Drosophila melanogaster: one gene and its partner. The gene in region 2 interacts genetically with the main gene of each other region. Each region holds a gene or a part of one and is shown on either strand. Other genes may lie near its edges.

Region 1 (4,946 bases), on a different chromosome or scaffold from region 2:
CCAGCTGCGGCGCCAGCGACTCCTCCTCTCATTGGCGCGCCGCACGCTCCGTTTCCATGAGGCATTCGCGCACCAGGATGCGGGCATGGACAATGCCCCGCTTGAGACGCTCCGTGGAGCTGCGCGAGCCCGTGTACGTGGGCCGGATATCGCGGCCCATCTCCTCAATGACGGCCAGCAGCTGGGCGTACTTGGTCAGCCCATTGCCCGGGCCCACTGAGGGCAGGCTGGCCGTGGAGGTCAGCGGCGTGGTGATATTGGCCGAAGTTTGGGTGGTCACCACCACGGGCGAGGTGGAGGGTGGCGGGTACTTTAGCTGCGATGAGCTCAGATTCAGGCCCATGCTCTGGCCATTGCTGCCAGAGGAGGTGGAGGAAACGCCGGCACCGGAATTCCGCTGACCACCATTGCTGGAGCACATGTTGGCCAGCGAGAGGGCCGCAGCGGCGACGGCTGCCGGCGTGGCCGTCGTGTTCGACTGCTGCTGGAGTAGCGCCAGCTGGGCCTGGAGGAACTGCGGGGAGTATTGGAGGGCAGCGACGGCGGCGGCAGCTGCTGCTGCATTGGCCGCTGCAGCGGAGCTCTGCTTGCTGGACGAGCTGCTGTAGTCGCTGGCGGAGGAGCGGTCCCGCTCCCGCTTGCCACCGCTGCTCGTGGAGTAGTCGGTGGCAGCGTTGGATGAGTTGGATCCGCCTCCTCCGCCAACGGATCCACGCGAGTGGTGGATGGCCGATATCTGGATTTGGGGCTGCTGCTCGCGCTGCTCCCGCTGCTGCTGGTAATTGTAGAAATTCTGCACTTGGCTGCGCGGTATCGGTGTCACCGTGACGTCACTCAGCTTGGACTCTACGGCCTGGATATCCATGATGTCCATGGTGGCGCTGGGCGATGTGGTGTCTGGAGTCGATATCCGTCGGTTGTTGTGGTAACTTAACTATGTCCACCTTTCCGTTTTCCTGGCACACAAAACTACTAGTTTTTAGCGTTTCTTTTTTGGTTTATTGTTTTTTGTGATATGATATCGATATCGATATCAGGAGGCGTTATTACGCTTTCCCTTCAACGCACAAACAAATACACCCCCACCAACAAAAGTCGATGGTTCGGATTATAGTATCGATAGACAAGCGCGATGCAAAGTGCCCACCTATTCGCGTCTCGAATGTGGGTGTTTCCACTGTACAAGCAATTTGTATACATGTGGAAAGCTCTTTGTCCAAATTGGTAAATGGCTAAATGTTTTTGAAAAAAAGATAATTAACAACCATAAAACTACAAGAAAATTACAAAATTTAACCCAAGTGCATATGTATACATGAATGACAAAACGGTAAAACCATGCAAATGAATAACCATCCACGTCGAATAATACCTAGTTCACCCTGATAAGGCACTCCCAATTTGTCTTATTAAACAGCTAATTTTGTTAGGGCTTAAAAATACCCAACGTTATGTATGTCTAGTGTTGTCTAGTTTCGGGGGGCGGAAAAGCCAATTGCACACAAATATACAAAGTATTGCCGAAACGTTGATTCTTTCAATAAATAAGGCACATTTTAATGAACTTATGCTTATGCCAACAAAAGCGGTCGCTTATTTTTATTACTTATTGATATAAATTCCAAAACAGCTGACATTTTTAACGGTTACTTTGCCTAGTGTTGGCCAAGACATCAATCTTAATAATAAACTCTCAAGTTGTCAAAATTATACTTGTATTTCTACTAAAAAGTCATAAATATACCCAAAAACTACTTAGCCAATAGTAACCCTGCTTAATATGGATTTTATTCACTTATTAACACGCCAATTGTCTCACTTTTCAAACACAACGGCTGATTGCCAGCACTGTTTGCGCTGCAGTCCAGTGCTGCGCAACGCGGCGGGGACAAAAAACAATGGCGAGGCGAAACTAAAAAATTGTGTTGCTGACATCTGGTCGCTTGCAAAACTATTTCTAGCAGATTTTGTGATATTTCGTTGTGATCGGTCGATAAATCCGCCAGTTTTTTTTTTAATGGAAAGTGCTAACACATTGTAGCGGTTGGGAAGATAGCAGGAAAGGTGAGCGAAAGGCAGAAGATTGCGAAAAATTCAATTAAATTTCCGCGACCGTCTGTTTTCTGCATCGGTGTGTGTTTGTGTTTGCTCGCAAGTGTGTGTGGGTGCTCTGTGTATGACGTAAAGCGATAAAGCAAACGCATTCCCCCCACTCCTTGCATATGTGTGTGTGTGCAAGTGTTGTGTTTCTCTCTCATCAGTTTTGCATCTAATTAGGAGCGGAAAGCATTGATTGGCTGCCAAACGCCGCGGTTTGTTGTTTTTTTCGCTGCATTTCGGCCAAAAGGCTTGCCGCAGCTGCATATGTGTCGCTATGTGTGTGTCAGTGTTGCACAGTGCCGCCAGTGCCCACAAAATGGGCGCACAACAACAAAAGCAGCAACTCGGTTGGGATTTTCGCGATCCTACGCTGGCTCGGAGCTCCCCTTTTCCTATTTCCAATTCCCAGCCAGCGGGCTGCCGTTTTTCCTTTTTGTTATCCGTTGCCAGACGCAACGAAAACGACAGTTGGCATTTGAATTCAGCACAAACACACATACTAACGCCGACCCGCAAGCAGCACACACACACACACTGGGACACTCGAAAAAAAAAAAACAGACGCTGTCGGCGACCTCGACAAGCAGTTGGGTTCGATTTAGTTGTCAATGCCTTGAATTCGGTTCGGGGCTTAGTTTCCACAAGTTTATCGCTCGTCAAGAAACAACGAAATAAAATTATTTTCGACCTAAAAAATCTGACTAAATTGTGTTTTTTGTTTATGTATTTATTTAGGCACATTTTGCACACCACAACGTAGTTACTACATCTACGACTAACGGAACTCCTCCTGCAAGCAGTGGAAGTTGCTGTCCATCAAGCAGTACTCGGAGTTAACGCAGGATAAGCCGGGAGAAAGAGAAAGAGATCGGTGGAGAATAGAGATATACAGGTGGAGTCAAAGAGGAAGGATCATGGACATGATTACGGTGGGGCAGAGCGTCAAGATCAAGCGGACGGATGGCCGCGTCCACATGGCCGTGGTGGCGGTGATCAACCAGTCGGGCAAGTGCATCACAGTCGAATGGTACGAGCGCGGCGAAACGAAGGGCAAGGAGGTAGAACTGGACGCCATACTCACGCTCAATCCGGAGCTAATGCAAGATACTGTCGAACAGCACGCCGCCCCGGAGCCCAAGAAACAAGCCACCGCGCCGATGAACCTCTCGCGTAATCCCACACAATCGGCTATCGGTGGCAATCTCACCAGCCGTATGACCATGGCCGGAAACATGCTGAACAAGATCCAGGAAAGCCAGTCGATTCCCAATCCGATTGTCAGCAGCAATAGCGTGAATACAAACAGCAACTCCAACACTACGGCCGGCGGAGGTGGTGGCACCACAACGTCGACGACCACTGGATTACAGCGTCCACGGTACTCGCAAGCTGCTACCGGCCAGCAGCAGACAAGGATCGCCTCGGCGGTGCCTAATAACACATTGCCCAATCCCAGCGCGGCAGCCAGTGCTGGTCCGGCGGCACAAGGAGTCGCCACTGCGGCCACAACCCAGGGAGCTGGCGGCGCTAGTACCCGGCGATCGCACGCATTGAAAGAGGTGGAGCGACTGAAGGAGAATCGCGAGAAGCGACGCGCCCGACAGGCCGAGATGAAGGAGGAGAAGGTGGCGCTGATGAACCAGGATCCGGGCAATCCAAACTGGGAGACGGCGCAAATGATACGCGAATATCAGAGCACGCTGGAATTTGTGCCGCTGCTCGATGGCCAGGCCGTCGATGACCATCAGATCACAGTGTGCGTGCGCAAGCGTCCCATTAGCCGCAAGGAGGTCAATCGCAAGGAGATCGATGTCATTTCGGTGCCGCGCAAGGACATGCTCATCGTGCACGAGCCGCGCAGCAAGGTCGACCTCACCAAGTTCCTGGAGAACCACAAGTTTCGCTTCGACTACGCCTTCAACGACACGTGCGACAATGCCATGGTATACAAGTGAGTATCCAATCCAAATAACAAGCTCCAAAACAACTCCATATATGGTCTGTTTGAATTACTAGTAGTGATTCTAAACAAACGCTCGATATGGTGACCACACATTCCAATGTCTTGGGGAGGCTTCTTCAATTACTAATGCGTATCCTTGCTAGCAAACGGCTTTATTTCAATTGAACTGAACTATAGAAAATCTTATTTCGTTATAGATGACCCTCTATAGCTATCATTCAATCTTAAACCTAATTTGTTGATGCAGTGGAATCATATATAGTATAAAGCAGCATATCCTTTAAAGAAATCATTGCCCCATTTATCAGATTTCCATCGAGTAACCAAATGTGCCAGTCACTTTTCGAGCTCGTTTCGTTGGCGCATCTCTGTTAGAGCGACCCATTGAGTCATGCCGACAGAGACGGCAACAGAGCCACACACATGCATCATGAAAGCGGTTGCTCCCGAAATAGCCAAGTTCGTTGAATGACTAACTTGGAAGCCCCAGACGCTTCACCTGCCCCCGCCCGGCCACTCCGTCCGCCGATCTGCACACGAGCTCTCTAAACCCAATTCTCCAGCGGAAGAGATTTCGAAAAAGTAACTGCCTTGTGGCCCGGCATTTGTCCATTAGCAATTGTTTGGCTTCAATTGAATTAAAGCTGCTACGGCTGCTGCTGCCCCTTTCCTTTCTCCGCCAACTTCTTGCTTAGCTTCTCTTTCCGGTTTTCGCACTCGTATGTATTGTGTGGCTGTCGGGAATTGGTAATGCCATTAGTTGCGTCACGGCAATCGCTTAAGTATAGCCCAAAAAGTATACCCCATGAGTAATATAGCCCGGCATTAATGCACAAAATCTCGCCGATGATAACGTAGTCTCGTGTTGACAAATCCAAATGGG
Region 2 (5,038 bases):
TTCTTATCCTTCTTCAACTTTGAGTAACGATCTACCTTAACGCACAGATAGTCGCCGGACTTTTGCCAATGTAACTTGCAATCGGCCACATGGAAAAGGTTCTTGTTACGGATCTCACGCTTCTTGGGGATCTCCATCAGGGTAACGCGGGCGGGTATTTGGTTCTGCTCCTCCACCCAGTAGGCAATCACGTTGTCTGTGGGGGACCAAGAGAAGCCACGAATGCCGGGAATCTTAATGGACTTCAGGTCCAGAAGATAGAAAGAGGGTGTCTCGTAGATGTGGATCGAATTCTCGCCCATGCGGGCCACAAACTTGTCGTCGTGCGACCAGCGGAACATAGAAAGAACCGACATGCCATCGGCAACAAACGAACGTTTCTCGGCTCCAGTGCGAATGTCCCAGATGATGATCTTTTGGCCCGTGGGTGTCGGTCCGTAAGTCACTAGGTAATTCTCGCAGGGCGAAAACTCAACGAATTGGGTACCAGGATGGGGAAACTTCTGAATCTTCTGGAAGCTACTGCCACCCCAGATGGCCACACCGGGTTTGTGGAAGGTGACTACATAAGTACCCAGGGGCGACCACTTGACGAAGGTGTCGGTGAAGCGTTCGCGAGTCTCCAGCTCAAAGGGTTCGGGCAATACGTTTTGCCAGAAACCAACCTGCACGCAGTTGGGAGCGGTCTCCGCTGCCACGCAGTACTGGTCATAAGTGTCCGGGTCATTGATGAAGTTGTATAGATCGCTCTGCACTTTGAAGGTCTGCACGGTTGGCGGCTCCCACTTCTCGGGGATGTTTTCGTACCTGCCAAGATTAAATTTTATTAATCTCATTGCTTGATGCGGATGCAAGGAGAACTTACTTTTGGAAATCGGTGAAGAGATTGACGGCAAAGGTGTGGTTTTTGTCTAGGCGATGATTGTTGAGCTTCTTGACGGCTTCCTCCGCCTGTCTGGCCTGCTTGTACTCCATGAAGGCGTAGCCCTTGGTCTTGCCCTCCTCGTCGACGGGATAGACCACATTGACGATTTCTCCGTAGTTCGAAAACAGCTTGTTGATGACCAACTTCAGCTTCTCCAGGCGCACCGGCTCCACCTTTGGGATATTGTCCACTACCACCACACTCTCGACGCCATCGGCCTCCGAGGGGCGCTGGGCCAACATGTCGCCCAGCAGATCTGAAAGTGCATCACGAATATATTTAATTAGATATGCAAATGCAAACTTTCGCACACCGCACACGGATTGAGGTTAGATCGCCGCGTGTGATGCGCTGGCAGTCGGTGATTTTCACCTTCATCACTAATGTTGTCCACGAACCCGGGCGGATCGTCAAAGTTCGGCTCCTCCTGGTAATCACTGTCGTTCGCATCCGTACCGGAGTGCTCCTCGCTTTTCTTCTTGGCCATATTCAGCGATCTATTTGCAATTTTCCGTCATTAAACACACAAGCACAAAGTGAAAAAGGAAGAGCGAGATGCCGCATTTGCCAGTCAAGGCGAAACACTGTTTTGTGTGAATGGTTAGTGTTGCCAACTACTCACTGCGTTGATAACGCGGCGGGGTAACTTTTATTAATATTTATAAATACATATGTACATGCATATATTTTAATTTACTGTTTCTTAGATTTATTTGTATTTATACTGCATATGTTTGCTTGACAGCAATGACAATAATATCTGGATCCTTCTCTTATGGATCCTTAACAACAGAATCTTAGGTGCTTATCTGGTGATAATGTGTTAAAACGGCTAAATATTATCATTTTGTATTTCATGTACATACAATTATTTAATATTAGTCAATATGTATTAAGCAAAGTATAACCTATAACAACTAGTTTAATCGTTCTTTAATAATACATACATTTTTTCCGCTTGCAACTCTAGCGATGGAAGTTTTGAAGCATGTTCAACCGATTTTTTAGAATTAGGCATCAATCGATTTGTTGCCGATAAGCCAAAACCGATTGCATCGAGTAATCATCGGCTGGGGTTCCATCTCTCACATGAAAATTTGTAAGATTTTAGAGCAGATCGGTGTCCGTGATTTTCTCAATTTAAGCCCAATTTGTAGTATTAAAGCTGTTGAAAAATGCAGCGGGGACGAGCGCGAACCGTGTGAAATGCATGCGAAAGTCGTCGGTGCAGCAAATCAGTGCGAAAAACATCCCAAATGTGCGTAGGCCCCACACTCACTCTCGCACACACACCCGCGCGCACATACACAGCTTTTTCGGTCACCACTCGTTCGCTGTGGGTGCGAGCAGTACCACACTAGCAGTGTCGCACACCAGCACTGCCAGTGCAGCGGGAGCGACAGAGAGGCAAACAGCGGGCGGCGGACAACAACAGTGCGAGGCGAAGGAAAATGTTTTCATTTACTTAAGTCGGCGGTTCCCCAAAGAAAATTGGAAACTTGCTGGCTTAAAACGGATTGGGAAAACATTAATTATACCATGGACGGGCGGTTGAACACTGCGATGGGTTGAAAAGTGCGTAAATGGCTTGTCCAGACGAGCAAATCGCAACAGCTGATGCAGCAGCATCTCGAGAAAAGCGAACAGGCAACTGTAAAGTGTTCTCTGTTATTGTCGCACTGCAGCCCCGCCCCCGCCCACCACCCACCGTCGCGCTCCGTGAATGATTCACATTTTCTTTCGGCTGCCCGCCTGCCTTTTAAGCTTTTTCCCTGCCCCGCCCGCCGAAAAAAATTCGCTGACAATGCGTGTGCGCAATTAGTTATTTTTCTCGATTTCCAAGTGGTTTGACAAAGTGCCAATCGTGTTTTTGTATTTTCTTGTGTTTAGGCTCCAAGTGAAAATCACCTAAGCTGAGGAAAACTCCAAGCCACACTCACACACACACGCACTCGCTCGCACGCAGAAAAGAGACAAGTGAAAAAGGAAAAGCGGTGTGTTGTGGTCAAACATAGAGTGCGAAAAGTGCAAAAAGTGCGGAAAGTGAAGTGGCGGGCGTCGGAGAGCCGGAGTCCGTCGCAGGAAAATCCGTCAGCATGGATGTCGAAACACAGGAAATACGACAGGTAAGCGCAGCAAGAGGGCTTCCCGTGTACAAAGTTACACATAAAATAAACTCATATTTGAGCTAAAAACAAAAAGCACTCATTAACATTCCAACGGAGGCGAAGCGGGCCTAAACACCTACTCTCTTGGCCAAAATGGTGCGCTGAGGTAATGCCGCTCGGCAACTTAGCGCTTAGTATGCGACCGACACCTACTTACCAATCGACTGGTTTCGATGGCCAATGCAAACAACTACAACCGGTAGTTGTGTGGGGTGTGCTTGTGCTGATCGGAATATAATGCCAGCAGCCAACATCCATTCATAAAACTGCAGCTGAAAAATCGAAGCCGGAAAATACGCTTTACCCCTGCAAGATTAGGCATTTGTTATCGTTTTTCTCGCTTTGAGCTGGCCGCTGTTGCATGACCTAATCGCTAAATATGAAAAGAAAAAACAAATAATAAAAAAAAAAAAAAACGGCTTACGCATGCGAATGCCAGGCGCAAAGGGAGAAACGCTAACACTCTGCTCGGCGGTTTGGGGCCTTGCGTGTACACCGACTTTTCCCCCAGACAACTCCCTAGAAAGTCGCGCTGGAGTCTCGTTCTTGGCCAGCAAAAACAAACAGCTAGGAACCATAACGCGAACCGAACCTATGGCTAAACCCATTCAAACATTCAAACATCCAAGCGCTGACTCAAGCGGAGCACTCTCTTCTTGCCCGCTTTCCTTCATCAGCACTCTTTGTTATATTTAGCCGCAGATATCGCTGCCCATTCTCTGGAATGCCAAAAACAAGCAACGTTCGGCTAGATAATGAAATCATAAAGTCGCGCCAATTTCAATTTGTGACATTTGAAAACCACCAGCAACTGAAACTTTATTACAAACATGTGATGGAAATGTTTGCGGCACAGAGAAAAAACATCTCTAAACTGAACAACAATAAATCATCATTATATTCATTTTTAGTTTTATTTTCTTAAATATAACAATTATCTCAGAAAACACTAGTTTATTAGCTTTCTAATTATTACTCCCTCAGCAACCTAATTCTCATTAAATTAGATTGTTTTTTTTTCGTGTGTATTTGGATGCTTGAATACAAATATGCTATCCATCCATCCATCCATCGTTCGTTTATTCATAGTGGGCGTCCAAAGCAGCACTCATTTATTGTTTTTCTTCGAATTGCCTGCACGGTCTTTTGAAATTTGAGTTTTAGACATTTTTCCCCCGCGAGTCAATGCAAAGTGCAGCCAGAGTTTTTCCGTTTCGTTGGCCATTCAAATTATGTTGCGGACAGTTTCTTGCTTTTGGTGGAAAGCGCTTCGCTGGGCAAACAGGTTTTCCCTCCACCTGTTGACCAATTCGCATAGCTGGTCGGTCTACGACCTACGCCAATATTGTTTTCCCCGCCACTGCACTTTTCCCCCCTTATTCAGCTTGAATTATTTATGGCATATGGTTACAAGCATTTAATCCAAAAACCGCCCAAGAGCAAATTCTTTTCAACTGGCTTTGGGTATACAAAAGAATCGAACCACTTTGGTGAGATTCTCTGACATAGTTATTGATGACTTCATGCAACGATTTTGTAAGAAACCCGTTTGAAAATTATGGAATGAAAGCCAATAATAAAGACAGCATGGAGAAGTCAATGCATTGCAGCAAATACGAAAGGCACGCCGAAATCAAACTGAGTTAATGGTAATTGATAAACTTACCCCTCGAAGTTTTACCTTATCTCCAACTGTTGCTGTCTCATGTTTACTTTCTTATTTATTGTAATCCCACTAACATTAAAATGGGGGTCTCTATAAAATAAAGATAAACACCTACATCTTATCGGACACAAGCACATGTTTTATAAGTCTAGTTGGAACGTATTTTGCATTGGACTCGACCGATATAGAACCAATTTCCGCATCTGCAACAGCGACAGTTTCCCTCTTGAGAATTTATTTTGATTGCTTTTCCCCCATTTTCAATTAGACCAAGAAGAG

Evidence for each region.
Region 1: of Patronin (region 2) and Klp10A, changing one suppresses a phenotype caused by changing the other (phenotypic suppression), as found in Drosophila melanogaster (one study listed by BioGRID).

Annotation. Positions count from the first base shown.
Region 1 is NC_004354.4:11,133,985-11,138,930, reverse strand, and holds the start of Klp10A (Kinesin-like protein at 10A), read left to right. Parts: upstream 1-1,812; 5' UTR 1,813-2,064; intron 2,065-2,152; exon of another isoform or gene 2,153-2,835; 5' UTR 2,836-3,014; coding exon 3,015-4,051; intron 4,052-4,946. Other genes in the region: CDK2AP1 (CDK2-associated protein 1), read right to left, coding at 29-874. UniProt on the Drosophila melanogaster protein: Required during anaphase to drive sister chromatid separation to promote flux by actively depolymerizing kinetochore microtubules at their pole-associated minus ends, thereby moving chromatids through a 'poleward flux'.
Region 2 is NT_033778.4:17,532,839-17,537,876, reverse strand, and holds the start of Patronin (patronin), read left to right. Parts: upstream 1-2,010; 5' UTR 2,011-2,183; intron 2,184-2,227; exon of another isoform or gene 2,228-2,815; 5' UTR 2,816-3,021; coding exon 3,022-3,051; intron 3,052-5,038. Other genes in the region: eIF3b (eukaryotic translation initiation factor 3 subunit b), read right to left, coding at 1-807, 866-1,181, 1,298-1,412. UniProt on the Drosophila melanogaster protein: Key microtubule-organizing protein that specifically binds the minus-end of microtubules and regulates their dynamics and organization. Involved in mitotic spindle assembly. Regulates microtubule (MT) severing.